Lepisosteus oculatus: one gene and its partner. The protein of the gene in region 1 purifies or fractionates together with the protein of each later gene. This does not show direct contact. Links are inferred from orthologs where the notes say so. Each region holds a gene or a part of one and is shown in the gene's direction. Other genes may lie near its edges.

Region 1 (17,406 bases):
GATCCTGTCTTACCTTCAAAGTGGCTTGTGATAGGCTTTTTACATTCTTTAGTGCAAAGAAAAATGTAACACTAATTAGGGACTAAGTATGCATCAAAAATACCTGCACTAACAATCATTTAAAACACAAAAGGAAAACTTGAACTAGGGCTGGAAGAAATAAAACAAATTAACAAAATGGTCTGTTTTTAACCCATGTTTGAATATCCTTGTTTTATTATTGGCTTGATATGCCAGATGTTCATTGTTTTAGGAAAGATGTCTATGTTGTACTGTTGTACAAGCCAAGGCCGCTGGTCCTGACACTTTTCATTTTTTTAGAGAGACCATGTACGGTAGAGTGTGGAACTTCACCTCTGATTTTTCCAGAGGGGACACTGCTTATACTAAGCTTGCCTTGGATCGTCACACAGATACTTCTTATTTCCAAGAACCATGTGGGTATGTCCATAACATTTTTTGTTACTTCACAGCTGCAAGTGTACTTTATATGCAAGGAATAGAATCCTCTCTCCAGAAATTTGCATTCTATCCATTTCTGTCTGATAGTTTTCCTAACTATATAAATTAGTTCGCGGAATGTTATTCCATTAAACCTCTATATGGATGTGCTATGTAAGAAATATAACAGAAAAATGTTATATGCTCCAGTATGTACTGTACTCTTTTTTTCATTTCACTAACTAATACAACAGAGTATTGCTGCAAATCAACCCGTTTGCTGCTGTTGTGAATTTTTTCTGTTTTCACTTTTGCCATTCAAATGACTGTTTGTTACACCATGCCTCTGGAAGAATCGTCATTCCACCTCACATTCCAGCACAGTTCCCAATTAGCCCTTTTCCCTAGCCTATTTAATGCTACCTCACACTCTTCCCGCTGCTCAGTATTAGGGTTTTCCTGGCTAGAGCTACTCCCATTCTCATTGATATTTATTGCTTGGTTTTTGGCTTCCTGACCCTGGTTACGTCTCCTGATTTTGGTTTTGGTACTTTTGGTCTTGTTCTGGTTTTGACTCTCGGCTTCCTCACGGTTTACGGTTCCGCTTCTTGTTATTTGTACTTTTGCACCGGCTAGTTTACCTTTGGCTTTCGGACATCGGATTGTTCTTTTGACTACGCCTTTTGGAGTTTGTCCTGGTTTTCTGCATAGGGCCCTCACTACTAATTCCTAACACTGTTATCCTGTTCATTTGCAGAGACTCATGTTTCCTGTTCTTCTGAGATTGAAAGGGTTTTATTCATCAGAGGAGTTTCTAATGAAGTGCTCTCTGTCTTCATCGGATGCTAATCTCTGCCCTCTAATTAAGTCAAGGACTTAGTTTCTGTTAATTTATCCTTTTCAAACATAACAGCCTGATTATACGTGACATCCTAGAGAGCAAGCCAAAATTATTTAAAGAGCATTGTTAAATTTGGTTATTTTTAAATTTTAATTCTATGTGGGCGAGCTATAGGGGGCTAAAGGAGAAATTTATTTCTAGTCAAAAAGGGCATGTAAAGCATGGCCACAAATACTTGGCTTTTTTCTTTGTACTGGATCTTTCGAAATGCTAGTGGCCTTTACTTTGACTCTTGCTTATTTATTGTTCAGTCTTTGCTTTCTATTCCGTTTCCCACACAGCAAGCCAACTGTGTACTGTATGTGTCACATTGGAATGCATCACTCCAAAGGATTTTTAAAAGACATTTCGCCCTTTTCCGGTCCAAAGTTTAAAAAATGGAATACACAGATTTGATTATTTTGTTGTCATAGAAACAAATCAAAAAAATTTTTTTGGGACTGTGCAAAACTGCCAATGCCCTAAATAATAATAATAATAATAATAATAATAATAATAATAATAATAATACTGGCATGAAAAACATTGATATGTACCTGCATGACCTGCACAGAGTTGCAGTTCACACAAATGTGGGGGAGACTAATTTTAAGAAATGTAACCATTTTTGTTGGTTGTAGGATCCAGGTGTTTCATTGTCTAAGACACGAAGGGACTGGTGGGAGGACTTTGCTTGTGGATGGCTTTCATGCAGCAGATAAGGTTTTTCAGGAGACTCCAGACAACTTTGACCTGCTCACTAAAGTGCCCATCAAACACGAATATATTGAGAACGTGGGAGAGTATCACAACCATATGATTGGAATTGGGCCAGTGCTCAATGTCTACCCATGGAACAATGAGGTCTACATGATAAGGTAAAGATAGTCACTTGCAGGTTTGGAAGCTGTTGTACAGAACCTTCAGAAGGTTAAGAGGACGATTTGCATTTGAAATGCACATTGTCTGTCTTTCCTAAAAGCTTTTCTCTTTCTTGCCAAATATAGTAATCCTTTCTAGATCACATGGGTAGCCTAGTTTTTACATGACCTTAAACGCAGGAAAGGCAAAAAGTATCTTCAGAAATTACATGTTTTGTACAGTGACTGCAGTGTCACGAGTGAATGGACATCTTTGTGTTCCTTAACAGCATGTTAGATTAGGAGGTTAAAAGTGCATTATACACAAATAACTCATTCACTTTGAAGCACATTTAACAGTTAAACAAGGTGATTATCAGGAGCCAGTAGTTTTCATAACTGAAAATTAAAGAAACTCATCAACTTATACAAAGTGCCTACACTAATGGTATTAATGGGTAGTTTAGTTTCTTTTACCAAAGGAAAGAAAATTGAGTTGAGGGTGGTGTTTTTCCATGTTCTAGATTTTGGTGTCTGTTTCAAATCATTAAAATAGAAGACTTAAATTTTTTAAATTCTCTTACAGGTACAATAACTACGACCGGGCAGTAATCAACACTGTTCCTCATGATGTGGTACAGCGCTGGTATGTAGCACACCGAGCTCTCACCTCAGAGCTGAGAAAGCCTGAAAATGAACTCTGGGTCAAGCTCAAGCCAGGAAAGGTACGGTTTTAGTGTTTGTCTAGTTTATGTGTTGTCTAGTCTTTATGTCAGTGAAGTCCTAGATCTCTTTAGAGGAAGCCTGGAAAGCTTAAAGTTTGTTTGAAAGACCTTCACTGTAATTGATTTGTGGGAGGGGCTGAGCCATCTTCGGATGTTTTACAAAAACCCTAAGTACTGTAGGTCCTTTGAGTGGTTGTTTATTGTTGGGGATTACATTTTTAATTTATGTCCATCAGTTTTGTCTATAAAGCCCATGCTTGCTTCACATATTTTCCCACAAACAGCACATCAGTCTTGTGTATAGTTCTTCACACAAATAAATAAAAAAACCTTCCATTCTTCCAGCTCTTTGTTCTAGATGGCAATGAACTTCATAGGAGTTTATTTTACTTTGTAAATAAAAGATTACAGCTGAATTCCCTTTACAGTTTTATCAAAAACAGATTCCTTGCATAGTTAATACTGGCAGTATTTAAATTCCTTTATTATGTCTGGTTATTTTTTCTTCTGTTTTGTAGGTTCTTTTCATTGATAATTGGAGAGTTCTTCACGGTAGAGAATCATTCACAGGCCTGCGTCAACTGTGTGGCTGTTACCTCACCAGGGATGATGTTCTCAATACAGCAAGATCACTGGGACTCAAAGCCTAAGTCCCCCCATCAAAATTTCCAAATGACAGCACTTACAGTACGAGCTTTAACAAACCAAAGCACTCCCTTATCTTCACACTCACATCCTAGAGAGTCGCGGCTTCTGCTGGCTTTTGTAATGCCAGAGTGCTCAGGTTTTGAATTAGTTTAACTGTTGAGTAATTGGATACATATAGTTTTTCTCTCCAGGTCTGCAAATGTTTAAATGCACCGTACAGTACCTGGAACAAATTGCATGTTTTAATCAATCACCTCAAGAAAGTAATACATACAAATGTCTTTCTGCCTGAGAAAATAATACATTTCCATTTAAAACTAAATCTAGAGACATCTCTGCACTGTGGGGACTGACCTAAGATCCCTGCCCTAATCAAAAACTAGGCTATACATCTCAGCACTTTAACTGATAAGAAATATCCATCAAAATATCACTTGAAACAACACAGAATTTCAAATTTTTATAAGTCTCATTGTGTAATGATGAAAGCACTTGAATGTCCAGAGGTCAGGTAGCTACATGAAGAACTCCTTTATCGCTTGCTTGCAGTAGAATTTTCTAGATTTGGGTAAGTGTATCTGGAAAGCAATATTTAAAAAAGAGAAAAAAAAAGATATCCTAAGTGTCTGCTCTGAGACTAGACTGGTCTTTTTTATTTTTGCTCAATAAAATTGATTTTTTTAATTAACATTTTAATGAATGAGACCTACGGTATATGAAACTTATTTTATTTTGTTTTTTTCATTGTGCCTTACATTGTATTAAAAATTGTGAACCGTCATGTAAAACATGCTAGACACTTCTGTCCAATACAGCATTTTAAGATTCATGATTACTGGAAAGAAGTGAAAGAAGAAATACTTTGTTCTTTTTTTGAAAATATTTTTCATCTGTGATATGAAAGCTGTCTTCATCAGGCAGAGTAATCTGGAATAAAGTATTTCTGAGAATTTTTAAAACACTAAAAAAAGCCAATGCTGTTTTGACCTTTTTGCATTACAAAATCACAGATTTTCCTCCTACGTACGTCACTGGGTCATGATTTCATGTATTTCTTAAGTGTATGCTTCATATTCTAAATAAATCACAAACAGAATGCCTGAAAAATTCTAACATTTCTTCCAGAATCCATGAATTCAGATTGCACTGTGGTAGCCATTGCAGTCTAGCAGATGAAAGCTTGTTCTCTTTCAAAGATCGAAAACAGTCATCACCAATGGGGATGTGCCATGTCACTAAAATTTGCTGGTCTAGTGTGCTGTATCAATCCAGAATGTCCCTGCAACATCACTCTGACCTGTCTGTTTTTCCTCTACAATCCCAGTGAAATTGTTTAATCTGGGCCATGGTTTGGATTCTGCAGATTACTGTTTACTTTCTGGAGCACTGTAGCCTTATTAATATTGGGTTCTGTTTTTGTTTTTTGAACTCATACGCCTTCTGTGTGGAGTCGGCATGCTTTCCCCATGTCGATATGGGTTCTACTTTCCTCCTAACTCTCTGAGACATGCCGGCAAATATAATTGGTATTTCTAAATTGTCCTTGTTTGCAAGTGACCCTGTGAAAGGCGGATGTCCTGTCCAAGGTGTGGTCCTGCCTTGTGCCTTTTGCTTCCAGATTAGACTTTGGGTAGGTGAGAATGAGCAGCTGTCTGGTAATTGGAGTTGGATTTGCTGGACTAAGAACAAGAGCACGATTCTTTCCATTCTCCAGGTTGATAATTACCAATCTTTCTTTTGTTCTCGTATTTGCTTTCCTTTTCTCTATAACAGGCTTTCTACGTCAGACTTGAGCATACTTCACCCAAGAGCTTTTTCTTGTAAATATGAGCTGGATGCTGCGTTGTAGCTGTAGTACTCTACTCTTCTTCCACTCAACTATTGTGTTGAATCTGTCAAGTTGACCCTTGATGACTCCTCTTGACTTTGACATAGATGGTTTTGTGACTACTGCATGCACCCCTTGACTCAAGAAGTGCTATTCTTCAAACCCTGCTTACTGACACTCCCTTTGCACTCACCTTAACCCTGCTGTCTTTTTCACCTGAATAACACTGACTGTCTTTGACAGTGCCAAGAATTATTTTCAACTAAGGGCTAATGGGAGTATCTTGTCCAAGCTCCCTTCTTCCAAACTTGCCTTTGGTTTGGCATTAATTCAGTCACGTGATGCACACGTTTTTATGCATCCATTGTCTAGTGATTTTGTTAAAGAAATAAGCAAAACAACAAGACATGAGGAGGGGAAGAATCTATGAAGCTCCTTAAGCTTTCAGGTTTTTGTTTTTGCCCTCTGTGAAATTTCATCTTAATTGACATTGAAGCCCTTGTATTTATGTTGTTTTTTTTTAGCTGCTTGCTCACTACAGTATGCTCCTGAGGCACAATGCACCAGTTTACAGTGCTTTCAGGATGACACCTAACCTGGCTTCTGAGTCTGGTTTTTTCATAAATTTGTGTTGTATGATACGGGTTCCTGCCAACTTAGGTATGACCAACGTCTGTGCTTCCTGTCCCCAAGAGACATACAGGACGTTTTCACCAGAGCACAAGCCATTTCTGGTGTTCTCCTTGATAGAACATTCCTGGATGAGAACTGCATGACTCTTATGTGGGTTTCTCCATCTACAGTATGTTACCAGGTTTTATAATCTCAATACCATAGATGCTTTGACCTCTATGAACCCCTCTGTCCCTGCTTCTTTTTGTCCCTGACATTAACTATTTAATTATTACACTTATATCCTTGGCTGACGTCCTTTCTTGAAAAGGAATTATATTTTTTTTTACATTCCATATTCTCGAGATCACACTCTACTGGCCTCTGTTTCCTTCTAAAAATGAAATTGCAACATCCTGGCTTCTGGAGAAAGAAGGATGACCAAGAGTGACTTGCTCCAGTACAATTGAAGTGATTTTGGCATATTGTCTCAGCAAAACTCGGTGAAATGGCACTTTCAAGTCTGTGAAGAATCAAGGAATCTTGTGTTTTTCTGTATATACAGTATTACATTTTAATCATCTGAAATGCAATCTCAGTTGCTTTTAAGAGCTATTGGAATAACTCGTTTAAAGGTTGTATTCTGTCTCTTATTTCTTATCAACTGTGTTAAAGCTCAAATTTTAAAATAAAAAGCCACATTAAACATTTACGAATTTTCCACTTTTTAAAAAAAACTTTTCTCTCTTTTACGTTGAAATGGTATATATCAGACAGTTTTAATGGGGAAAATTAACTTGCATGATTAAACTGAATTTAAAATTGATAACTGTTGATATTAAAGTCCAGAGAATAGAACCTTATTAAAGCCTTTTCTTATATTTAATTTTTCATCCAAGTGTCTTTCACCATGCTTTTTTAGTTGCATCTTCTAAGATGACCTTTTACAAATATAACTATATACAGTAGCACATAGCATTCTGTGCAACAAAATTCTCAAAGCCATTCTAAATGAGAGGGTATAACACATTGAGATACAGTACCACTGGCCTTTAAAATTATTCTGTAAAGTAATTGTTTGTTTCATATCCAGCCAGTGTAAACGGTCTATTCCAATTCTTTTTATAGTTCAATAGCAAGAAGTATTGTTAGTAAAATTGCTAATTTTGTTTTATATGCCTGGACTTGGGAAGCTATTGAGTAGAGTAAATTCTGATAACCACATCTTTCATTAAACAAAATAGTGTTTTACGTATAAAAACCTCTAGCTGATTAGCAGTACCATACATTCAGTTGCCAGTCTGAAGTGTGAGAAATGGGGAACATTATTAACCATAAATTTAAGAGGCTATTTGAATCCAGTGATCACTAGGTCAAAAAAGAATAATATTAGTATTTCATTGTTTCTGAATTCTTAATAAGAAATATTGATTTAGAAAATCCCTGTATCAGTGGATACCTTGTCTTGATGTTTATTTAAAATGATGTTTTCTCATCAGTGCTTTTATAACAATAATGATGACTAGATAGGGCTCTCCTGTTTTTTTAGTTGGTCTTCTAGGACTTTATAGAGTCTAGTATGTTTCAAAAATTGAAAAGTTAAGTCACAAAGCTATTGCAATGGCAAGGCCTTTACAACTGATTTTAAAAAGGCCACTGAACATGACAGCTGTTTCTTATGTGGTCTTTGTTATTTGATTTTGGTTTCATATGTATATGTATATAAAATGCTTTCAATGTGCATGTTTATAATAAGATAAAATGGTGACAATACTAATACACAACGATATACCAAGATTAGAAGATTACGTCTGGTTGTTGGAATTGCCACTTTTATCTTCTCTTCTTTGCATTTTATTTATGATGGAATACAACATCTTTTCATACAGTAAGTCTCCAAATTAAGCCCAAATTGAAAAAAAAGTTACTTTTAAGTACCCTTTCCAAGTGATCTTGTCGTGGACTGGGATCAGTTTATTGCTGAAGCAATAGTAAAAATAGGCCCCTCACTTCAAAGTGTATATGGAATAAGTGGGTACTGCTGTACCATATTAGATATAATTTACCTGAATATACAGTACTATATTATTTATTTTATGTTAAACTTTTTGCCTTAAAATCTGAACCACACTGGCTTAATACACCAGAGCCTATCATGGTTCCTTTGGTGTTAAGCAGACATTATGCCACTCTCCCCTCAGGACAGGACTCTGGTTCATCACTGGGGTTACCACCCAATAACTGATGGTCCCCGATGGACTGCAGCAAGTGGGGTAAAGTCTGCAGAAGGGAATTGCACCCACAACCCAAAGTGAGTCCAGAGACTTACCCACTACGCTAAAACTCCCCCAAACAGCACATGAACATAGAAAATGTGGACAGCTTTTCTTGTACCGAACTATATCTATATAACTGGGGCTATTCAGATATAGCCAAAGGGAGTTAACCCTAAGGGCAAAATATAGCGTAGACAACAAAAGGCAGCTGGTAAAACCAGAGAAAACTCTTATGAATGAGACCCTGCATACTCTAGACACGAGATCAAATACTTTGGCTGGATGCATAAGTCCTGATCACTCTATATTGTATATTGTAATTATATTAAACTTTACATTGATTGCCCTAGAGTTTTGTTAATCTGGTCTAAATCCTGCTTGTTGGTGGGCAGAACTAAACAGCCTTGGAGTGGCCGTGGGCTGCTACCTCTTTCAGTACTAAGTGTGAAGTGAGTGGCCCAACTCCTGAGGTCACTGGAGGCTAAATTGCCAAGTATATAGCAAAAGTTTGCACCTTTTCACTGTGTGTTAACTACCAAAATGCATGACACATGAAGACAAAAAAAAAAGATATGAAGAATCATCAAAAATCCCTACAATTTTGATAGTAGAATATAATTATTTTTAACACCTTTCTTCCAAATAATTATTTGGTAATAAACCTACTCAATTTGGAATTGGCAATTGTGTGTTTTCATGTCTCGGCTCACAGGTGCATATCTTGTACCAACACATAGTGACAACAAGGAAGTGCAGACAGATGTGTCTGGCCTCCCCACCTTTGAGTCATTGATCTGTTAATACATCTCAGGTCACGCAGCTCGCCACAGGAGGCACTTCTCCAATTGAAGGAGAGGCAGTTCCTTTGCCAGTCCTGGTGCAGGCTTGCAGTAATTGCTGTTTTGTTGGGATCTAAAAGCGCCCTTGCTAACTAATGCCAACCCTACCCTGTGCTGTGCTTAGTCAATTATGTGTCAACCACTTGAGAAATCCCATCACAGTCACAGTGACCTAACCCGGGCTTGGAACACACAGTGCCAGTGCCAGTCCTCAAGCAAGCATCTTCACATATTGAGCAACTCTGGAGCCCACATATAATTATTGCTTAATACATGTTATAGTGTTGTTCTTCTTAATACTGGAAACAAAGAATGAAGCCCTGGCGAAGAAACCAGCCACTTAACCTAGCCCAAGCTAATAATAACTGGCAGAAATCAGCTTCATTATTCTGAAGATAGAACTTGTTTTGTGTTTGCGTTGTAAAAAGGGCACCCTGACACCATCTGTTATGCAACATCTTCCCTTAAATACAATAGAAATAGAAAGTTGCGCAATTAAAAGAAAATGCATTAATTCAATAGTACATTTTAAGATGTGATTTTGAGAGACGGTGCGAGAGGTGGTTTTCTTTTTGGGACATAAAATAAATTTTTAGGTCTGGCTCTAGCCAGAGGAAAGTGCTCTTGTCATTACTGCCAGTAACCCCATCAATAGAGCTCTTTGAAAGGCTACATCCCTGTGCGTACTTTTTGTAGGGAATCATGTTTTTTTAAGGCTTATTACGTACCTCTATTCAATCACCCCTTTTGCCAATAGATTCTTTATTTTCTTTCTAATTCATATTCTGCCTATATCCCAAGGGGACACTATCAGCCTTTGTCTAAACACCCCGAGTCCTAGTCTTACTACTACTTTCATCACAATTTATTGCAAAAACCTAAAAGCAAATTAAGAAACTAAGATGTTGGTAATACATTTGGTTGAAGGGTTGGGAAATACATTTTTTAACAGTGAAAAGATATTAATACAACAGCATGGCTGCTTCATCACAATAGGCTCTACAAGGAGTCTGTTTATGATACAATCATGGGATTAGTGAAAAACCTGATGTACTGAATCTAATTTCTAATTACAAACAATAATCCAGATATTATTCATGAATCCTCCCTTTCATGTATAATTTCATTTCATGGAGTCAAACTAAATTTAGGAGATGGAAAAATCCTGTTTAGAAAGGGTCCTCTCAATATGGAGCTCCTGTTTAAACATGACAGAAAACGAATGTCAATAACTTTAGATTAATAAAAAGAATGTCAATAACTTTAGATTAATAAATAAAATGATACATCACATCACTTTCAAAAGCCACTTATCTAATTCAGGGACATGATGAATTAAAGCCAATCCCAGGAAGCATTGGGCGAAATGTGGGATGCACCCTGGATACCAGTCCATCACAGGTTTCACACAGACACCAAAAACGCACATTGTCATACCAGGGTCTATTTGCAGAAGCCAATGAATTTACCATTATGTCTTTGGACTGTGGGGCAAAAGCAGAGCACCTACAGGAAACCCATACAAATACTGCGGAACATGCAGAGTCCTTGCAAGCAGCAAACCAAAAATTGATCCCAGGATCTCAGCATCGCAATGCAGCAATATTAACCATTGTTCTAATTTACAACAATAATAATATAAATAACTCAAGTCGATACGATTAATATGTCCTTACACTAGAACTAATCCATCCTTAAAGTAACCTTCACACTAGCTCGCACTAGACAGAGGAGCTGAACTAATAACTCCCATATTTGTTTAGGCAATAGAAATGACATCATGTAGGACAGACTCTCGCGGTGTTTCACGGGTCTAAGACTCGGGAAAGGACATGCGCAGTGAACACCACACGTGTTCCTTTCCACATTGAGAGAGTGAAGATGGCGGACGTAGAGGGTAGGCATGGAAAATAATTTTGGGTTTTTCTTTATTTTTATATGCAATTCGAGGGGAAATAGTAGTAGTCAATTGTACTGAGATACATAGGACAAAGTAATTCAAGCTCTTTGAGACCGATTTAAGACTGGATCTTTTGTAGAGAAAATAAATCTCACCTCGTGTGTGCTGCATGGGGCAAGTGTGCAACTAGACGATAAATGATCAACTTGCCTGTATTTTTACATCTTAAGTTTGATCAATCCGGCTCTTACAACGTGTATATCACTATTTAAGGCGTCTTAATTTTAATAATTGCGATCTTGAATCTTAATATGTAGGGTACAAACGCATTAAATGCTGTGTTTTTGAATATAAACTTTACAGTAGGAAGAGATACATGAATTTCACTGTTGCAGAGGATGTACCTAGCTTTTTTGCATTCGATATTTTTTTATAATCCACAATGTAGTCACTTTCATCGATGAAGTAGCAAGCTTTTGTAATTTTGTAATTTTGTTTTTGAAGTTAAAAGCGAAAGTTAACATTTGCTTTAAGATTGCTGAATGCTGCACGATATTACTAAAAACGATTATTCTATACGTTTTAATTCAGTGAGTCAATTGTGCTTATGGTATTTTTTTTATCCATTTAAAAATTAATGCCTTGCACACCGCCAAATGTGGTCTTTTTCTAGTCACCACGTGTTTTCAGAGTCTGCCACGTGGTTGTATTGAACAGTTTTCCCTAAACCAATGCAGCCCGCATGTCTATTATTAATCAAATAAAGATACATTATGTGCGAATTATGATCATGAATGCTCTGAAGAGTTGCTAAATTAGAATATTTTAGGGACTTGACTTTTCCTAATTGTCATTGATGATGGAAACATGATGATTTTCTTATTCCAAGAATTTATTTTGTTTAATAATTATATGTAGAAAGCCTGTTGTTTTTTTCCAGAAGAGTTTACAGATGTAAGAGTTATTATAGGAAAGTAACCTTAATTCATATGATTATTCATATCAAGAGACGTGATGTGCTAATGTTACAGCAACAGTCCATGATTATTTACTGAGAATGATTAATTTCCACGGTTTGAACTCTTGGGTTTCTTCTTTTCTCTTTTCTCAGTTTCCTCAGCTAAGAAGCACAAGAAGAAGAAGGAGAAAAAAGTTGCCGATGATGAAGTTGGGGTAGGTTCCATGTAACATGGCTTTTTTGGAATGTTAGCAACTTTTTTGGGTGCAGTAAACTTTGAAGTTTTTATAATTGCTTACATTGTAATTTAAAATTTTCATAACATCAAATGGATTTTCCCCCCCGCTTTAGGAACTTCAAGAGATGGGTGATTTCCTCATCAAACCGGAGTCCAAAATTCCAACACTTGATACCTCTCAGTGGCCTTTATTGTTGAAGGTAACTAGATAATTATTATACGTTCCTGTCATCCTTCTAGGAAGCTCCCATGTATAGTGTTGTATGTGAGATGATGAACTTGTTTATCCATTCTCTGAGCACTGCTGGCCTCTGTCTCTGCAACACTCTCGGCCTGTTCTAGGCCTAAGTGTCTCGGCTCCCAGACTCGGCTTGGCCATTCCAGTGTTCTGCTGGGGGCGGAGCAGGAGTCTGGAGAGCTGGAGCAAGAGGCAGAACCAGCCTCTGCAGAGACGAGTAAACAGTCTGATCGCACAAGTTCGATGGGGAGGGGTTAAGTAGCCTGTTGCACAAAGAACATCCAATGATCAGTACTTGCCTCACATGACAATATAGCTCACTTTGTTGGGATATGCACAATGTAAGACATCTGCTTCTCAATCCAAAAAGTAACAGATTTATACAGAATTATTTCCCTTATCACTGTACCTGAATGAAGGTGCAGATCACAGTTCTACAAATACACAGTGTTGTATATGCGGTGCTGGAGGGTTCCAGTAAGGCAGCACAGCACATTAATGTAAATACCATTTCACCTGGCCTTGTGCCTTTTTGCTCATTAAAGATTTTTTTCAGGAAGTGTACAGTAAGCAATATATAAAAACCTTGACTTTCTCCTCTCTTCCATTCCATTAAGTATTAAATGAAGAATTGGGTGACACTTTGAAAAGTAACACTTTATGGATGGATGGTGTAGGTGTGACAAAGGTGGTATGCTAAATACATTTGTGTAAAATCTCCTTTTTCATTTGTTTTTTTTGTAGAACTTTGATAAGCTGAACATAAGGACAGCACATTATACACCTCTCCCAAGTGGCTCAAATCCCTTGAAGAGAAATATTCAGGATTATGTCAGGTACAATTTTTTTTTTGCTGTATCTTTAGGGATCTTGGTTTTCTAATTGAAACTAATGCTGGCAAAGTCTTAACTTGAAAAATGCACTTAAACTCTTCGTCCTGTGTGAAATGTGAAACAGGTTGTCTGTTTAACATTGAAAGATTTATTAATCTGTTTTAGGTATTTTAGTGCTTACAGCAGGAAGATATTACCTTACACCAGACAAATTTACATTGTTAGAATTTTCTACTTTAAGAGTTGTCTAAGATCTGAGAGAATGCTTTAATTTCATAGATTGATGACATCCAAGAAGCCAAATGATGTTTTTATGTAGATTGCATTAGCACTCTGTGCAAAGATGACTGTCTATCTATCACCCATGACTGATGGCTTCAGGGAGAAATGTTAAGGCAACCATTACAACTCCTTTAGTAGGCCTTGTGTTATGCATTTGTTTTTTCTGAGTTAATACTGAGTGATCTCCTATTCTTAGAAGTTATACTGAAATATTTTAAAATCTGTAGGACCGGTTTTATTAACTTGGATAAACCCGCCAACCCATCCTCTCACGAAGTGGTGGCGTGGATCCGTCGGATTCTTCGTGTGGAGAAAACAGGCCACAGTGGCACTCTGGACCCTAAAGTCACAGGCTGTCTCATAGTGTGTGTAGACAGAGCCACGCGTCTGGTGAAGTCCCAGCAGAGCGCTGGTGAGTGGGTATTTCTTGTCTTCTTTCAGTCTCTGAAAATCGTGAATTATAGTCACTTGTAAGTGACACAGGAAAAAAAGCAGCTTCTCCTGACTACTCTTTTGCTATTGCTTTCAGGCAAAGAGTATGTGGGAATTGTTCGGCTGCACAATGCTATTGAGAATGAGCTTCAGCTTTCCAGGGTAAGTTTTATTTTAAAATTGGTCTTTAATTTAGAAAAATGGTATAGTAATTCCACATTTATGTGAACCAGTTTAAGACAGGGTTTACGTTTTATCATTAAACATAAAAATTGACCTAATTTCTCACTTACAGCATTAAGTCATTTTATTCTTTATTTGATTCCTTAGCAAATCAGTGGAAAGTAGCTACATATGTTAAATATAGTTTATGTTCAGTATGGCTATTGCTTGTCTGTTTGAAGAAAAAATGTCAAAGTACAAACTGTCCACAAGCTTAATAAATCAACCAAAGCCTTTTAGAAATCAGTTTAAAGCAGTTTTTAAACGTGTTTTTCACAAAATAAGTAAAAATTTCAGTATTGGAGGTCAAATCATTTAAGTTTGCTTGCAAAGAAGTTAATGTACATTTAAGCTATGTCACTTCAGCATCTGCATTTTCACATAAGATGACAAGGGTGGCTCACCTGTTTTTTCCTGTCTCACTATTCCACAATTAGCTTGCTTTTTTATTATGAGAGGAAGTCATCTACTTTATGGGGTTAGACACTTTGACTTTTATGAAAGTGGGTTTATGGGACTTTTTTTTTGACTGAAATGTTTTTTGCTGTTACAATGCTTAAAGCCTCAGTTTTGAGTAAGCACACAGGAAAAATCTTGCATTTGTTGATGCTCAATCTTCTGGATGAGCTGTGTTGACGTGCTCTTCCTGCGGCAGCAATGTATGTGAGATGATGAACTTGTTTATCCATTCTCTGAGCACTGCTGGCCCCTGTCTCTGCAGCACTCACGACCTGTTCTAGGCCTGAGTGTCACGGCTCCCAGACTCGGCTCGGCCATTCCAGTGTTCTGCTGGGGGTGGAGCAGGGGTCTGGAGAGCTGGAGCAGGACTGGAGGCTGTAGCAAGAGGCAGAACCAGCCTCTGCAGAGACGAGTCAAACAGTCTGATCACGTACAAGCTTCGAATTGGCTTCCGGTTAAGTCGTTTGTCTCAGGTGTGTCAAGTCTCTCTCCTCTTTCTCAGGCACTGGAAACCTTAACGGGGGCTTTGTTCCAGCGGCCTCCTCTGATTGCAGCTGTGAAGAGACAGTTGAGAGTGAGAACCATTTATGAAAGCAAACTCATAGAGTACGATCCAGAGCGAAGACTGGGTAAGGAAAAGAGAGATCTATTACTTTACTGGATTTTCTGTTTTCTTCAGAGCACAGCAAAGCTGCAAATCCTCCATTGCAAAATAATGTAAAGATTATTAAGAATCTTGCTAATATTATTAGTCATGATGAGGAACGTCAGTGCCAAGAGTACAAAGGGGTATTTACTTATAGGTTACGATAAGAATTAAGCTTGAGTGAATTTTCTGCTTTCCTTAAATACTCGGAAGAAAACTTAAATTTAGGATGGGCATTAGTATCCTAGTTAATGATTAGCTCCAAACAAGAGGCCAAATGATGTGTTGTATAGATTGCATTAGCACTTTGTGCAAAGATGACTATTGATCTATCACCCATGACTGATGGCTTCTGGAACAGTGGTTAAGAGGGGTGTTTTTGAACTTGGATTATTCATTGTAATTGTTTAGTTACTAAATTAATCTGGCAGGCCTGATATAAAAGGCGTACCAGTGATTTGTTTTTAAAATTTTTGGAATTAGGTAAATTGGTGCTTCATTGTTCTGAACACTCAACTTTTAAATGCTAAATTTAAAAACAAATTTAAGGCCAGGTCTCTGATGATTAAATGGAACTGCTTTTGGACTTTTCATGAAAAAATGAACGCAGACCATATTTGCAGTGATTTACCAGTTCATGTATTAATGGTGGGTAGTATTCACTCCAGTCATGTTTCTAACTGGTATTCTGCAGGGATATTCTGGGTCAGCTGTGAGGCAGGTACCTACATCCGGACCCTGTGTGTTCACCTTGGCCTCTTGCTGGGAGTTGGGGGACAGATGCAGGAGCTTCGGCGAGTGCGGTCTGGGGTCCTGGGAGAGCGGGTAAAAAAACTGTTTTCTCCGCTTCCCTCTTTCCAACCAGAGGCTTGTACTGAGGTCAAGGGTCTCCAGTATTGGTCTTGTTGGTCTGAAATAAAATCTTTTTATAAAACCGGCTTTTGACAGGATAAACCAGCTGATGACTGGCTTTATTGGACCTATTTAACAGTTATTCTCAGGCTCTGCTTTTTCAAAGAAACACCAGGTTTAGACCTATAAAGGACCAGGATTGGACCATTCTGGCTTAAGTAATAAATGTTGTCCAAAGTGGTTGAGTTCAGTGCTGGGCTTTTTCCCTGGCTCTGGTAATTGAGCTTTGGTACATGGAATGGCATGGAGGAGGATATGAGTGGAATGGTTAAATTGTTTTTCCATTTCATTGAATCCTTGCCTACATTCATTTTGTTTTTCATTGTTTTGAATCTGAGTCACTATGGATAAAAGCAAAATTTCAAAGCTGTACTTTGTTACACGGTACTCTTTTGACACCTTTCAAAGATGAGAGCCTTACTGTTTGAAATCATAATGACAATGTTATTACACAATAGGAAAACTTATTTATTTTATCCTTTTTTCAGGACAACTTGGTTACCATGCACGATGTGTTGGATGCCCAGTGGCAGTATGACCATAACAAGGATGAAACCTACCTGAGGAGAGTCATCTATCCACTAGAGAAGCTCCTTGTGTCACACAAACGTCTTGTTATGAAGGACAGTGCGGTATGGCTATACCTTTTTTTATTAAATCGGCCTTAGAGCTAATGATGTTTAAAGAACAAATGCTGCGAAGCTAAAATGGAACTGTTTTTAGTTATTCAGTATGAATCATTTTGTCCTCTTTCATCTTATAAATGCTTTACTTACTGATCGAAGTAAGCATTGTCCCCGACTGTAAACAATTTCAGCTGTCGAGTTAGTTGTTAAATGTATAAATACTTGTCTTCTATCTTTTGAAGAAGGCAAACCACACTAGATTTAAGAATTCCTGAAATCAAAAGCATTTGCTATCATTTGAACATTCAAGTTAATGCATTTAAGGTCATCTTAGAGTGTGGGTGATTCTGGTCTATAGCCCAGCCCTTCCAGAATGGTTTGTGTTTCTTTGATCTTAGCTAAAATGTAAAACAAACTCAGTGGTAGGGAACACAAATCCATTCTAAACTGAAGATGAAAGGATGGCATTGCTCGTAGATGATCATTCAGCCTGATTTTTGTAGTGAATGGAAGATGCACAGTGTTGACAAGTGTCTTCCTTACAGGTCAAT
Region 2 (16,508 bases), on another chromosome or scaffold:
TTCTCAAAGGTCTGTGTTGAAGAGGCAGAAGAGACACTTCCTGCAAATTTCTTATCTCTTCAGTGCAAACCCTTTCCTACTAGTTATCGTCAAATAGGCAGTTCAGTGCTTGGAAAGTAGAATGTTAATTTGCATGGTTCATCTTGCCTAGGTTCTCTTCCACTGACACAGTGCACTACTATTAAGCACCATTACAATCTTCTCAGTTATTTTTAATATTTTTTCCTTGAACTGTATAAAGAAGTCTGAAAACCCTCAACTTAAGTTTTTAAAACCACAATTCCAGTAAGGCACCAATTGTATAATAGCTGTGATAATGTCATAGGCTATTCTCATTTTTATGATAAGCTCATTTTGAAATGCCCCTGTGATCTATTATAATTTGTTAAAACAAACTCCAATTGTAGCGTTTATAAAAAGTTGGGCAATTAGATGAATGACTTTGCTTAAAACAACCTTAAATTACCCTACTAACACCTGAATCAGATGTCTTTTTCCATGACTGTTATCATTTCAATTGCAATGGGACAAATCCATCTATTATTAATTGCTTTTTCATATTTTAATTAAAGAGCAGTTCTGTTCAAAACCTCCAAAAGGCTGATGGATAAAAATGGATAAATAAATGACCCAGTATTATTTACTTTAATTAATAATAATTGTTCATAATTTTACTTAGCCTAGAATATTTATGGACATTCATGGGTGAAAAGGAAAACAAATATTTGGCCATTCATTGTATAATGAAAGAATGATTCTGTTATTTAAACATTCCTTTTTGTGCATTGCACATGCATATGTATATATTCCATAAACATTTTCGTCAAGTATTTTCAAATCCTAGTTCCACAGTGGTAAATGACCAACACAAAAGAAATAGGAACTTCTCAATCTGTCACTAACTTAAGATTAATTTGTTTAGGTATGAAGAGTGATCTCTCAGCTTTCAATGTCTGACCAAATATGCTATTGTTATTGTTCATACTTACAGTAAAACCTTTTAAAACGTTTTTTCCACACTGCAGTTTTACTTAGGTTCTTAGTTTCAAACACCATGCAGGAATTGAGTTTATTTTTTATCAGTTCCATACAAGTACCCTTTGTGGAGTGACTGGGATATTGTTGAACCAAAGGGCCAAAGGGACATTTTCCTTTAATATTATCCATTTCCTTCTTTCTTTTCTTTAGCTTTGAATGTGTGGAGTCAAATATTAATTGCTGCTTCATATGTCATTTCAAGTGTCAACTACAAGCTATAAAATAGTCAAGCTGTGCAAAAATCTGAATAATTTTGCAAGACACTGTATGTGAAATATTTGTGGACTCAATGAGGTGAAAATCACAAGCAAATGCAAACAATTCTTAATTATTTTTACTGTATGTCAGGCAAGATCACAGTTATTTGCTCATGCTGTTCCTTTGATTAAGATTTTAAGGTGTCAAGGACTCATTTGCATCTTCATTGGACTTTTATTTATTAATATTGGTTGATCAATAATATGTATCTACTACCCCACATAATAAAGGTCCATGTTGCTCTGTTTAGAAGACAAGGGCATTTTGAAAAAATCATGTATAATTTTAAGTGCCACTAAGCTCATAGCATTGTTATTTTTTATTGCAATTAAAATATTTATTTTTTGGAAAATGCTGTTTTGCTGGATAGAGTTTCAAATCCTTAAGCTCATGGTAAGGTTTAAAAATGTGAAATAAAGAGTTTTGTCCCCTGTTGTAATTTGCTGCATCCACTTTCTGTGTATACAAGCTAATGGAGAGGTCCTTAAGGCAGCCAAATAGTCCTTCTACTCCAGCCACATTGAGAGGTTTTGTCGTAATCCTTTCATTTATTCTTTACTTAGCAATAAAATGCTTGATTCATCTAATAACTCTATTTTTCCTTTATTGAACAATGTAACACATTCATACAATTATTTCACAACAAAATACATTGCATTAATAACCAGCTGCTGACCTCATCTCCTGCAGTCATGACAACCACCACTCTCCTACCTTCACAGGTTTGAGTTTATCTTCTTTTATTGCTGTTGATGCTGCCTATGTAACTGAGTTAGTAAAATGTAAATGTAAAATGAAACCCGCTGTTTGTTTCTTAAATCTTATTTCTTCACAGCTGCACATCTTCTCTGCTCTGTATATTTGCTAACAGCCAAATCAAGGACTGCCTGAAATTTGATCTTGTTCCTGTAGTCTTAAACCTAACTGTAACCTGTGTTAATATGAAACTGCCCAGGGCAGTTTAAATCCTAATTGCATACAGTACATGTACTGTATTTGTTCATCATAACTGGTCGCCTATTAAGAGCTTTTTAGTCAGAAAAAATGAAAAAAATTAAATTACTTAGTTGTGACAGGCTAGTTTTGCATACTAAAAGTGTTGAATTCACAAAAAAGTCTGAGCAATTCAAGCCAATGCAATGCATTAATAAGCTCCAGTAATTCAGTTGGTTGAAATAATAGCCAGAAGACACAGCACTCCCTCAAGTCCAGAGTTAAGACCAACTGTTTTCAGATACAAACAGATTGTATGTCCAGATTTTGGAGTACTCTGAATCATCATCTAGAATAACCCCTGTTGTCTATATGGCTCCCAGTAAAAATAAGAGAGGACTACAAAGTTATCCTGATCCAAATAGTAAACTACAGATTATTTTAAAGATTTAAAACTTGATTAAGGCTCTGATTTTGAGATTTTCATATTCTGCTGAAAACCAGGCAGCACCAAATGAGTCATAGACACACAATGTCCAAGTGTTTTGAGACATGTTTTTGCTAAGTCCTTTAATGCATTATTTATTTTTATTCAATTTGAATAGATTTGCTGTGCTTTTATCCCACTTTGCTTCTGTTGTATTATATATGTGCTGTTTTACAGTTCCCATTAATAAAATTGCATTATTATTCTTATTGTTGTTGAAAATTATATTATTAGAATTGTGTGCCAATTTCACTTTATACAGCACGTGTGCAGGGCAGGAATCAAAACCCATTTGCAACCTACCAAGACAATGCAACAAAGGACAAGGCAGAAGCACCTTTCCTTATAATCTGTCACCCTAATAGGTATATCTGTTGTGCTGTTCTCAACATGACCCTGCGCTGCAACCACAATCTCAACACATTGCCACTGTGAATACAGCTTACTGTGCTGGAAGCCACTATCTCAACCCTAACACCCTGGGTGCAGTATAGGAAGCTGATAAGTTGAAAATATTACCTCAGACCCAGCCATCCATTTTATAACTGTTTTATCCAATACAGGATCACCGGGGAGCAGGATCTGATCCTTGCAAGAAACAGGACCACCCTTGACGGGGCCCCAGTCTATTACAGGGCTCACACAGACATACAGTACACACACTCACAACAGGGCCAATTTCCCCAGAAGTCAATTAAACTACCAGCATATCTTTGGACTGCTGGGAGGAAACTGGAGCACCCGGAGGAATCCCACTTGAACACACGGAGAACATACAGTACCAACTCCATGCAGATAGCACTCCAGGATCTGAACCCAGGGCCCCAATAATATTCAGGTAAAATAAGTTAATAAGTGTGTCCTGACACCAGCACTATGATGACTGAAAAGGTGAACATATAAACATATGGGTAAATACAGCTGTGTTCGTGAACTAGATGATTCTTCTCCGGTGTGCCTGCCATCTATAGTTAATGGATATGAATCAAGAAACACCCTTGGGTCTTGAAAAAATGTATTCCCGTTAAACAAGATAAACTAATTCTCCCTGGTATATTTCAAAAAGAAATCCAAATAGTTTCACAAATATAAAAATACCCCTCCCTCTAGTTCTTAAATACTTGGCTATTTTTGGATCATCAAACAGAAGCCCTGCTATGTTAGCTAGACTGCTACAGCTCATTTACTGCAGCTTCATGCTCAGTCCTGCTTCTTGGATTTATTTATTTATTCTCCTCCTAGCTCTTCTTTGTTGTCTCTTTTTAAAGCCTAACATAAGGTTTGAACATAAGATTTTCTGCTCTTTTCTAAAGGGTTCTAGAAATGTAAAATTTGCAGTCTTGGGTGAATGTGGTCTCAGGAATTCCTTAACTGAATGGACAAGCTGTAGAAACACCAACGCACTGATCTAGATCCCAGACACACTGGTGTCTGGATGTGTGTGGGAAGGAGGAATCTCTCTCTTATATTCAAAACACCAGTCAATATTGGACTCTCTTAAAAAATAGAAAACAAATGTATACTATAATAATAATGTTGCTTTATTAGCCCTATACAATTTCTTGCATTAAGAATTTGTCTTTCTGCATACCCTAGTTTGCTCTCCATGAGACACAGACAGGGAGAGAAGCTTGGGGTCAGAGCACAGGGTCAGCTATTGTACAGCACCCCTGGAGCAGTTGGGGTTAAGGGCCTTGCTCAGGGGCTCAACAGAGTAGGAGTCCTCTGCCAGCTGCAGGACTTGAACCAGCAACCTTCCGGTCACAAGCACAGATCCTTGCAAAGGAACAAGTGTCACATTCGAAGAAGGCTCCACAGCCAAAATGCTTTGTTTCTTTTCTTCTCTTTTTGGCATGGAATAAACTTTTACTTGTTCCTTATATATACTATATCTAAGCATAATATATATATAACTACTTAACCATATCAAATATGTACAGTATATTCCTTAAAGGCTTGTGATTTTTTACCACCAACATACTAACATTGTAAAGGCATTAATACTGTATATGAAATGTTTTGGTTGTTTTGATGTACTGTGTACAGTATATAAAACACAAAAAACACACAGTTGAACAGTTTAAAACACAATATTACTGATCCACTTCTGCTGCAATCCTTCCTTTCTGCAATACTCCTAGTTTTAACATTACACAAATATACACCTGTAGTATATTCTATCAAGGAATACAACTAAGATTTTCTTAAATCTAGATGTTGTTTATGTAAAATAAAAACAATGTTAAATACAATTTTTAATTTTTATAGTATCTGAGAATAAATAAGGATGAGATGTTGTGTATTATCCACAGAATCAGTAATTACAGTGGTTTGAGTCCTTTCAGCCAAGTAGTCACCATAAATGAGTATTTATCTGGTTACATAATGGATTAGTGTATATATATACATGTATATGTATAATAAAGGTGGTAACATACAGGTTATTTAATAATCTGTAATATTTGCTGACCTACACAGCAGCTGTGCACTGTAACTTTTTTTAATAACCTCTGCTGAAGGCACGAGGAATTCAAAATGATTACCCCTGAGGATATCTTCTGACAGCGCAGTGTGTTCAACACAAATATTTATCATGTTCTAATATTTTCTGAAATTTTTCCTTTCATTTACTCAAAATAATTGAAGAAGAGATTAAAATAACCGGATCTCTTTAGCCGTCACCAGAGAAAACCATGAGAGGACTGGGTCTAATTACTTAAAATTCTCTAGGGCACCCACAAAACCAACATGATGGACTTTTTCAAGATCATCATTGACAGAAGGACCAGAATAAATTAGTAGAAACATAGGGTAAATGTGCTTAAGAATAAAAACAGCAGTGGCACTAATTTAGACAAAAACAGGCTCAGAAGCAAGCTACCCATCCCTGGTTCTGAAGTTAATACGTTGGCTTCATTGTGCTCAAATCAATTGATTCAAATGATCAAATGAAACAACAATAATTATCACCTAAAGGTATGTACCCAACATTTACAAATTCTCATTTACAATGAAAATCTGATCAAGAGGCTTTCACCACTGTTACACAGAATACAATGCACTGACTGATCAATAAAGCATTAATAACAAAGCATAATATGTCAATAAATGTAAGTGAAAATGCCCTCAGATATAAAGCTGGATACTTTCAGCTTACTTTGCAGATTTTTTAGTCGTTGGCATCAGCAAATTGAAATTCATTACACCAAAGGAGGTAAGAGTCTTGGGAAGTTCGTTCTGATAAACAAACTACAATACAAACTGTGAGATGCCATAAATTGTTTGGATAGGAGAGTGCTTTACAACTTCATGTTCTGGAAATTAAACAGGACGTGGTATGAATCATTTGTCTACTTTAAAGAGATGGCCAAGTAGTTAAACATTGTGGTGATGAGTGAGATAAAGGAGCATAAATATCAAATAGCAGAATGTTATCAGACTTTGACTTTTACAGGAAGAGGTTTTGAAGCAATTTGTAAGCTGTATCTCCATATTCCAGGGTGTGGAGTACCTATAATGCTTTTTTATGTATGTACTGTATGTACTCCACATTCTGTTCTATGGAGTGCTGTCTCTGTGTGCCGTGTGAGTACATACAGTCCAGCATCTCCAATCTCTAAAACTCCAGTTGATGACCTGCTTACCTCCTATCACAATGAAGAAAGTCTGTGGTCGCTCTGTGGTTTTAGACATCCCCTTCAGTTCTGGCCATCCTAAAGAATGTGGTATCCCATGCACCACTCTCTCCATGCTGCAAGTTTAGCTTTGAGTGGGGGGGAGGAAGATGATGTTGGAACCTACCTCTACTGCTCTGTGTAGAGTTCCTGGTGTCCTTGATATCTCCTGGGTGCTATGGTGCAAACTGCGTTCCTCCAGTTTTTTCTGTCTCTGTGTGTTGTGTGTGAGTCCACATAATTTCAGTTTTTGTCGTGGGCCTGGGCAGAGCTAATGGCTCAGGGCTGATTACCCAACTGCCTCTATGGCCCAGTGTTATGATGCATTGTTGATTTTAACCCCTTTTCTGGAAGCTCCCTCTCAGTCTGAATCCTTGTTACTTGTGTCTCACAAATGCATGTGTTACCTCTGAACTGCACAGTATACAGTATTATGAATGTCTGTGCAAGGAAGATCTTTGATCAATGGGGAGCTCAGGAACAAGAAAAGATGAATGCACCACTCTTATGACACTGGCCATTGTTTGCGGACTTAAAATTAATGAGCCCTCCTTATATTGTTCATTTATAGGACCTCATCACCTTATCCATCCATTTTCTGACTGCTTCATCCAATTCAGGGTCACACACGGGGATAACTTACAAACTCCATGCAGATAGCACCCCAGAACCAGAACTGAACCCAGGGCTCCAGCGGTGCAAGGCAACAGTGCTGATTACTGCACAATCATAATACATTTTTAATTGTATTCCAAAAAACAGAAGGGTCACATTTATTACCTCTCAATTTTGTTTAAAATTCAACAGAAACAAATCTACAGTAACATCCTACTTTTGGGTATTGTAATAGGAACCTTTGGAACTGTAGAAAAGGACTTTGAAGGTATCCTGTTTCCATGGGTTGTAAAAGGAACGATTACTGTATATGGAAAACATGTGGATATAGCATGTAGTCAGAGGGCTCTTTGAAGGTGGTAGACAAATGCACATTGACCTCCATAAGATGGAGGATTGTTGTAAAAAACTCCCCAAATCCTGAATCTACCACATTCTACTCTAGTGCTCATTCACAGAAAATTGAGGCTGCTGGTACTGTATAGTGGCAGATCTGCGAGTATATCTTGTCACCATGGGCTGTTTCAAGAGGCAATAGTTGTAAATCTTCAGTACACACTGGCATCTTCAGGGTACAAACAACCAAAATCTCTCAAATTTAGCATTCATTGCTGGGTTTCAAGAAGAAGTCTGTTCTGGCAGAGGTGACTCAAACTTCCCAAACATTATTTGAATGACAAATGAAACAATGTCTTGTGGTCAGATTAAATGAAAATTGATCTTTTTGGAAATACTCATCAGTTTTACAGTATGTTGTGATATTGTGTGGGGGCCTATAATGTTATGGGATTGTTTTGCATCTATACTGTAGGTCCTGGAATCACTGTCAAGATAGACAGCTCCATTCCGTACCGAACTCCGCGGTTGTTACAATACCTTCCAGAAGAGGATTACAAAATACTTACTACAGGGGTGTGACTAAAAATAACCCTAATATTTTCTTTACTTATTTATGTTCCATGTGGATACGTGTTGCCAAGATACCTTCAACTTCATTGTTGTTGGTTTCCACATAGTAAATTGTTACTTAATGTACTGGATTATAAAAGTAACAATGTATTGTAAGTCGCCCTGGCTAGGAGTGTCTTCTAAGCTTCTACTAATAAAAACATTGTGTGTGATGTTCAGGTCTTTTTTGCAACACATTAAAATGTGCATTTTTAAATAATTTCCTAGTAATAGTACAGTATTTGACCTTCTATACATGCTACAGTAATATTATGAGTGCTGTTGTATTAAGCACTTGCTTTTTACAAAGCGAAACGCAGAACAAGACAAGCAATGGCTATAGTTATTAATTCCTAGAATAAAGATACATTTTCTTTAAACAGAAAGTATTTTCACAAACATCGTTTCCTTATGAGCAATGCAACACACTTTTTTATTTTTTTCCCCATGCAACACACTATCAGCAGCTTTATCACCGGCGTGATTTGATGACGTATGTTCTTTCTGCCCTGCGTAGAAATAGGCAGCCGGAAGAACTCGTTTGAGATCAAACAACGTGTTGCACTATACAATATCAGAAAGGTAAGCACATGATTAGTATACGCAAAGTAATATCGCTTAAAGTTTTAGAAAATAGCGTAAACATCCATAAAAGTGACTCTTATAATATCTATTTTTGCTTGTCATAAATTATGCTATTCGCTATTTCTTTTCGAAACAATGTAGTTCAAACTTGCGGTAAATGCTGTGATCAACGAGCTTGCTGAAAATCTGCTGCCTTTTGGTTTTTAACATCAGTGCATCAATTGATTTTCATTTTTATTGTCTATATAAGGGTCGCGGCGGTTCAGCATGTATCTGAAACAGCCACTGTAACGTCAATTGTGTGAACATCAGTTGTAGCATCTTGTAAATTATTGTTTCAGCGTTCTTAACAGTGCAAATTTGCAACGAATTGCATGAAACGGATATCAGAAAAGTGTGTTTTCACATGTCCCAAACTCATACACTACGACATGCAATATCATACCACCACAAAGATGAATGAAGAAAAATATAGTTGTTAGAGCAGGACAGAATTGTAAGCAATAGATAAAGAGAAAAATGAGTGAGAATATTCTATGTAGATATTGATCACAGAAATAAAGTAAATAAATCTGTCTTGTTTTCCAGACTTCTTCGATTTCACATGTTGAAAATTTAAAATATTGTATTTTTCTTAACAATACTGCTACAGTTTGTGGTACTGAAATGTTTTTCAGACATTGGAGCATGCCAGTGGTGGAATGGTGGCACAGTGATTAGCATTGCTGCCTCCCACCACTGGAGCCCTGGGTTAAATTCTGGATCTGTGGTTTCATGAAATTGTCCCATCTACATGAAGTTTGTATGTTCTCAAAGTGTTCATGTGGGTTTTCCCAGGGTGCTCAGGGTTCCTTCCACAGTCCAAAGACATGCTGGGAGTTTAATTGGCTTCTGGAAAAATTGCTCCTGGTGTGTGTGATAGATACTTTATTGATCCTGTGAGGGAAATTGTGTGCTCTGTGATGGACTGGCATTCCATCCAGAGTGTACCCTGACACACTTGCTAGGACACTCTCCATCTTCCCTACATTGGTCAAAGTGGTTAACAAATGGGTGGATGGAACTTGTCTGTTTGTATTTTTATTGTGTGTATTTTGCCATTACACATTTAACTTTCTCAAAATAGGATAAATAGTTAAGTTTTCATGAAAAGTATTCATGTTTTTCTCTTTTTTTTTTCATATAGACAGTACACCATGGAACAAGAGCATTGTGAAACAGCTCTGGAGCATTTGGTAGATGCCAATACTGTGGTAAATACTGTAGAAACACAGAAAGACCAGAGCAGTGCTTTAGCTCCTGAGTTACTGGATTCTCTGACAACAGACTCTACAAAAGTTGAGACAGAGTCCCTGACAAATCCATTAAGCACTGGCATTGAAGATCAGTACTCAAATAGGCATATGGTTGGCACCAAGTCTCCCACACCTGGTACAAATGAAGTAAATGGCAATGTGGTAGCAGTGCCTGAATGTTCTGAGAAAGCAGAGAAACATGATTCTGATATACAAAGAGACGGGCCAGAATTTGATGCAGGTGGAGCAGGAGTTAAAAATACCGGAACTGGAATACTTGAAATGAATCAAGTGGCTGATCACACATCTCAGAGTGAAGACATGGAGATTACAGTGTCATCAAGAATGGAGACACTTAATTTTATGAACACTCCTGAAGCTGCTGAAGCAGAGAGCCTGCCGGCTGGGAAGAATGTTACATTTCCTCAGGTTTGCATGATATTAAGGAGTGATGACAAGGAGACTAACCCGAGTGAAGAAAGTGACGACAGCAGCTCATCTGAGGACTCCTCTTCCGACAGGTACGTACTGAACAGCCTTGTTGAAAGATTTTAAACATTTCAGAAAATATTTACAAAGTGAAAATGCAGATCACCCTATTTGTATGTTGTAGTAGATGTATGAAACATTTTACTATTCTGACTTATTCTACACTATCCTGACTTCACACCTCTTGATTGGCCTCTCTTTCTGTCCCCTGCTCCTGCCACTCGCTCCTCCTCTCTCCCAGCCTTTGTTCTTCTGCTACATTACCTTTGCTTACTGCCTTGTCTTTCTCACACCTGAAGAAGGCTCCATGGCCGAAACATGGTTTCTTTCTCCTTTTTTTCTGTATGGAATAAACCTATTACTTGTTCCTTTGCAGCCTACGCATGCTGACGCAGCTACCCACCTGAACTGAAACATTTTATGTCCACCTAAAACTTTTTTTGACCGGAAAAATGCTGTGAACCTATTTATAGATTAACATAGCAATACCACTTGCTAGTTAGATGTTATCAGATTTCAGAAGCTAAGCAATTTACTATTTACTGCTATATGTGTTCTTTCTTCCCAAATCCAATAATTATATGTTGCTGACCTCTTCAGCCAAGATGTTTCTTTGCCTTATTGTGGCAAGATGAAAAATATCGCCCTCAGTAGATTTTCACTACCCCGTTTATTCAGAGTTTGACTTGAGTTTACAGCAAAAATAGCATATTGCCGTTATTAAACATCAAATTATTAGATATTGTGTATTGTTTTTAAATAGAATCCTTTCTCATGTAGGGAATGTTGTTTGCCGTTTCAGAATTTTCCATTGTAACCTGTTTTCTCTGAATGATACATACAGATGTTATCATTCTTCATTTTGTGATTTATGGATTATTTGTTGCAGAACTAAGTTTCTGCAGTTTTTAAGAATTCAGTACATTTTTGTTTTAATTTCATGTTTTTATTTTGTAGTGATTCAGATTCCTCTTCTTCCTCGTCCTCCTCCTCTTCGTCTTCTGCGCTTCTGCCTGCTACACTAGGTGAAGCTGATGATGATGATGATGAGTGCATGGCTTTTGGTAATGGGAAAAAAGCACATCCTGTTAAAACTAAAGATGAAATTCTCATTGAGGTATGTTATGCAAATATTTTTGCCTTTTAATAAACAGTGTAACCTCTAAGAACCTTGAGTAGGCTCTGGTAAAAAAGTTATGGAGCTTTGTTATTTGTTACTTCTCTTGATAGCTACAGTGTCTTGTGTATTTCACTTTTTAGGCTGTACCTTAAAAAAAGGTAAAGAAAAAATGATTTTTTTCTCCTAAACTGCAAGCAACATGTCTTTTATCATTGACCCAAGAGCATGAAAGATATCTAGAATACCAAGGAGTACCACTGCATTGTATCAGTTTTATGGATAATTAGATTACTGTGACATTTGTTTTCATTGGGTCTTGTAGAATGTTTTGACAAAGAGGTTTAAAGTTTTGGGGTACAATACCACTGTTCAAACAATAGCAAAAACAGTTATTTTGAGGTTATTTTGCTTCTTCATGATTGCAGTACTCCATACATATATAGTATTGTTGTGCTTAGTTTTCAGAAATCACTGCATTATTATAATCTCACTTGAATTTATACCACTTTAGTCCTACTGCGCCATGTTGCATATTACCATTACAATCATATAGTGTTTTGTAGTGAACATAAGATTATAATTGGAAACAAAAAAGAACCACTAGTGGCATAGAGGTGTACATACTCACGACACTGCAAGCATTTGGGTTTTGTTCACGGTGTTCCAGTGAAAATATGTCATTATTCAAATTAAGTTGTTCTAATGCTTAAAATGGCAGTAGCTTTGAGGCAGGCAATGCTTTCTAAAGCATACAGAGTAAAACATTCCTCCAGTAATTTTAAAACAGTCAGTGAAAAGGTCATGTTTTATATCTATTATCATCTTTAATGCATATTTTGTGAGTTAAAAAAAAGTTCCAAACATTAATCAATGACAGCTAGTACATTACTTCACGGGAAATCTAATCATCTGCTAACCTAGAAGGTCTATTGTCATTGTAGTTATGAGAGCCTCTCCATCCATTTTCTAGAACTGCTTTATCCTTAAAGAGTTAATAAGTATTGCAATGTATGTATTAGATGTTGGCAAGATATTTAGCAGGCATGCATAAATTTTGAGCAATGCAACAGTTTTTTTGAACACAATATCATTTTTAACACATGCAGCATGTTTTTTTTTTAATGATGGTAGACAATGTTTCTGTAAAATAAAAGAAAGGCTTATATTTTGCCTTAGGTATTAAAGTCTGTAGTTAAAACTTTCCTTGTGCTCTTTTGATAACACAAGTGTGCCATGCATGCCTTTTGAAATCTCTTGCTCTTTCTGCATAGCAGCAGAGTTTGTTCAGACTGCACCAGGCTTTTAATTATGAAAAGTTTTTATAATTAATTTATGTAAATCAAATCAGTAAGCAAGATTATGATCTGCCTTAGCAGTTGTTTGTTTCACATGTTGAAAGTTAGCTTAGTGGTAGAATTACCTTGGGAGGTAGTTATTTCTGTTTAGAAGTTTTTTGTTATTGACATGTGTATCATTAGGTAGAAATACTTGACTCATATACAGTGGTGCTAGAAAGTTTGCGAACTCTTTAGAATTTTCTGAATTTCTGTATAAATTTAACCTAAAATGTTATTGGATCTTCATCTAAGTCATAAAAATAGAGAACTCAATAAAACAGATAACACACAAAATGATATACTTTTTCATTCATTTATTGATCAAAATGATCCAACATTAAATCTCTATCCAACTTGCTGTAGCTAACAGCCGCCTCGCTGAGGCAAGAAGGGAATCTCCAAGCTGGGACTTGGTGGTTTGGGCAGCTGTTGGCGTTTGCTGAGGAGAAGTGAGAAATGGCCAATTGAGAGAAGACAGGCAGGAGGCAGGAACAGGAAGGGAAGAATGCCAAGGGAAAGGTGCTAGCAGGACAGGATACAGGCAGCTTTTGGGCCTTTCAGATTTTGAGTCATAGGGACCGGAGTATGTTGTTATCCAGCTTTTCTGGTAGCTTGTCCTAAAGAAGAGCTCAAATGGCTGTTCCTGAAGTTTGACTTTTGAAGAAAAAATTATTCTTTCGTCATTAATTTATTAATAAAACTTCATTATAAGGCAAGTACAATTTACATTAAATATTACACATTATGGTGTGATGGTTATAATTATAATACTTTAAACTTAGTATTTTTGCTTTGGGTTCATGAATTGATTCATTTTATGAACATCTAAGACATTTCAAATGAGTGAAATCTATTCTTCCCATCTAGCACATTTGGTAAATAGAAATTAATTTATACGAGGATGTTATAAATCTATATCTTGAAATAATCAAGGGTATACTTGATTTAAAAAAAAAAAACTTCCCAATCTGCATCTATTGGCTGGTTACTTTTTTCCAGACCCTCACTGGTTTTCTATTCTAAAAGATCCTTCTGTTAAGTTTGAAAAGCACTTGTCCATGGTTTATAGTGTCCCCATCACTATACTGGGGAATTAGGACCCACATAGACCACAGCGTGAGCGCCCCCTGCTGGCCCCACGAACACAGTTTCCAGGAGCATCCTTAGTTTTTCCCAGGACGTCTCCTATCCAGGTACTGACCAGGCTCACACCTGCTTAACTTCAGTCGGTTGCCAGTTTTGAGTTGCAGAGTGATATGGCTGCCATAGTCAACTATAGCTGTTACAATATTAATAGAACTCTGGTCTATTGAATGAATGAAGGTTGTTCTGATTTATTTCAGATTTCAATTATATCTATCTTGCTTAATTAATAAACACCTTTTTAAATCCTTATTTATAAATTGAATTAGGTTTTAAAAATTGATGATTTCTATCTAACGTAATATAAAACCTGACGGGTATGAGCTTTTCAGGGGCAGGATTTGAGGCCCCTGTATTAATTTATTCTTTAATGCATATAGGACTTATCTTGCCCTTCTGCATGCAGTGTGGTTTTTTATACTCATAAACTGTATCATTCCTAGTCTGGTTTATTGGAATGTCAAGCCTTTCTTTTGCAGTCAATCTGTGATGTTTATATAATGCACTTCAAAGCATTGCATAATATGATTACAGTTTCTTAATAATTCTCTTACCTACAATGTTAAGTTTCAGAAAAGACTAGATCAATACGGACATTTTCTCTTGTAGGTTCTCTGACAAGCTGAGTAAAAAAGCCGTCATTAACCATTTGAACCATTTCTGGTGCTTCCAGTCCAGTCTGGTGTCATTTTTTACCAGTCTTTTTAACAAATTTAAAATCTTTCATGAAAGCCACTTCTTTTTTGGCACATATTCCTAATAATTAATATTTGAATTTGGTAACAAACTCCTAAGAGTATGCCTTTTGCATGTTTTTAAGTTTGACCTATATAGATTCTGAGAAATCTTGACTCAACTAGGTTATTGCTATGCACGTTTCTTTGATATACAGTAGAGTGCACTTCCCCCTCTTCTATCCATCCTCCTTTTCCAGAACACTGTGTATCCACTAATGTTATATTCATCACCAGCACTCTCCAGAAACTGTTGTGGTGATTCCAGTTACATCTTTATTACTTGCTAATGTCGTAGTTCCTATCTCATGTATAATGTTTTTAATAGTGTTTGCAGTTAGGTTAACAATTAGAAGTAAACTTTTAATTTGTGAGTCGTTCTTTGGATTCGTCCCCCCTTCAGTCTACTTTAAATATTTTTTTTTAGTTCTCCATGGATCATTATGAGAAGACATTATGTGCTTACCTCATTTAGGAATGGAATGGAACTGTTTCAAATGTGAAGTGTGGTGTTTAAGCCAGTGTCATTTATCTCAACTTAGACGATGAAGTATTGTCGCCTGCTTTTGTTAGGAACCTGTCTGTTCTATAAACATCATCAGCAACCTTAGCTCTAGGGAGACAACATACAGCTGTTAACTCAGAATTCTTGATGCATAGCTTACATACAGTGTTTCTGGGCATAGTGTCGTCATCAACCACTCCGCCATTATTTTTTTTCTTGTGGTTTTGATGTCGCTGACACTGATTTTAAGTTTTTGTGACTGGTATGTGGACTTCACTGCCCATAATAGTGATGCCCTGGAAGCTGCTGCCTTGAGTTTTAAAGTATTAGCTGTTTTCTTCTGTCACCATAATTGTCAATCAAACAACTTTTACTTCCACAGACTAGTTATTTGAACAACACTATATCATTGTGGATGCATCAGTTCTGCTTTTGCTGTTCTTGGTGTTAAGCTGTTTAACATATAAGCATAAGGAAGCTCGCAAGCAAATGTGTCATATTTGGTACTATTTTAGTTCTGTTTTTTGTTTTTCCAAAAGTACTTACCCAAAATAGCCGTTAAAGATAGGTTGATAAGTCCTTATTCAAATAGAACTGTTAACATGGACTTTTTTCCATTTACTGCAAAGATATGGATATGACATATGGCATTCTGATGCAGTGGAACTGGAAAACAATCACAAAGATGGAGTATAAAATTATGTTGGTGAGGTGTATTGACTCATGGTTTCTCAGATTTTGGCCTGTCCTTGATAGACTGTTGCTTGCCATCTGGGGCTACAGCCAAGAACAGTGTACTAGTTTTCAACATACCAGTAACACAAAGGCCTTGTTCTGTAGAAACGCAGGGCATATTAGTTCCTCTCTGTGTTTTTCTTGATTTTTTTTTTTTTTACCAGGCTTGACATTCACCTGGTTAAATCATTTCATTACTTGCGACAAATCAACACTAACATAATAATGCCAAAACATTTAATCAATATCCAAAAAAATCCCTGTACGTTTCTATAAAACTATACATGCATGCATAGAGTGATATTTCTTTTTCAGTAATTAAGCAGATGTTAGGTGTCAACTGTATTACAGTATTGATACTTCGGCTGTATGTTGCAACTGTTTAGAGAGAAAAAAATATTTTCAATCTGTTACATTAATTAAGTGGTTAGTAATAAAGGCCAACTTTCTTTAATCAACATCTATGCCTCTTTTTCCTTTCCTGGAAAGCAGAGAAGCAAAGTACTTTTTAAAATTCCATTTGAAGACCAGACCATCTGTTCAATTAAAAAAGAGACACCTTATACATTATGTAATTTTCCACAATGTGAAATTTGCTTTTAGATACACTGA

The links.
Region 2: the proteins of dkc1 (region 1) and naf1 purify together in Homo sapiens (co-immunoprecipitation; 7 studies listed by BioGRID and IntAct, counting the BioPlex papers as one, with this or other methods). This does not show direct contact. The link is inferred for Lepisosteus oculatus from reciprocal best matches to the Homo sapiens genes DKC1 and NAF1.

Annotation. Positions count from the first base shown.
Region 1 is NC_090703.1:36,223,415-36,240,820, reverse strand, and holds the start of dkc1 (H/ACA ribonucleoprotein complex subunit DKC1), read left to right. Parts: upstream 1-10,955; 5' UTR 10,956-10,990; coding exon 10,991-11,006; intron 11,007-12,120; coding exon 12,121-12,182; intron 12,183-12,318; coding exon 12,319-12,405; intron 12,406-12,470; exon of another isoform or gene 12,471-12,677; intron 12,678-13,187; coding exon 13,188-13,279; intron 13,280-13,573; exon of another isoform or gene 13,574-13,653; intron 13,654-13,785; coding exon 13,786-13,970; intron 13,971-14,087; coding exon 14,088-14,152; intron 14,153-14,875; exon of another isoform or gene 14,876-15,101; intron 15,102-15,173; coding exon 15,174-15,300; intron 15,301-15,589; exon of another isoform or gene 15,590-15,668; intron 15,669-16,011; coding exon 16,012-16,142; intron 16,143-16,399; exon of another isoform or gene 16,400-16,538; intron 16,539-16,717; coding exon 16,718-16,861; intron 16,862-17,400; coding exon 17,401-17,406. Other genes in the region: tmlhe (trimethyllysine dioxygenase, mitochondrial), read left to right, coding at 322-441, 1,963-2,199, 2,768-2,906, 3,425-3,556.
Region 2 is NC_090696.1:22,506,794-22,523,301, forward strand, and holds the start of naf1 (H/ACA ribonucleoprotein complex non-core subunit NAF1), read left to right. Parts: upstream 1-8,481; 5' UTR 8,482-8,535; intron 8,536-9,724; 5' UTR 9,725-9,734; coding exon 9,735-10,354; intron 10,355-11,279; coding exon 11,280-11,439; intron 11,440-16,508. UniProt on the Homo sapiens protein: RNA-binding protein required for the maturation of box H/ACA snoRNPs complex and ribosome biogenesis.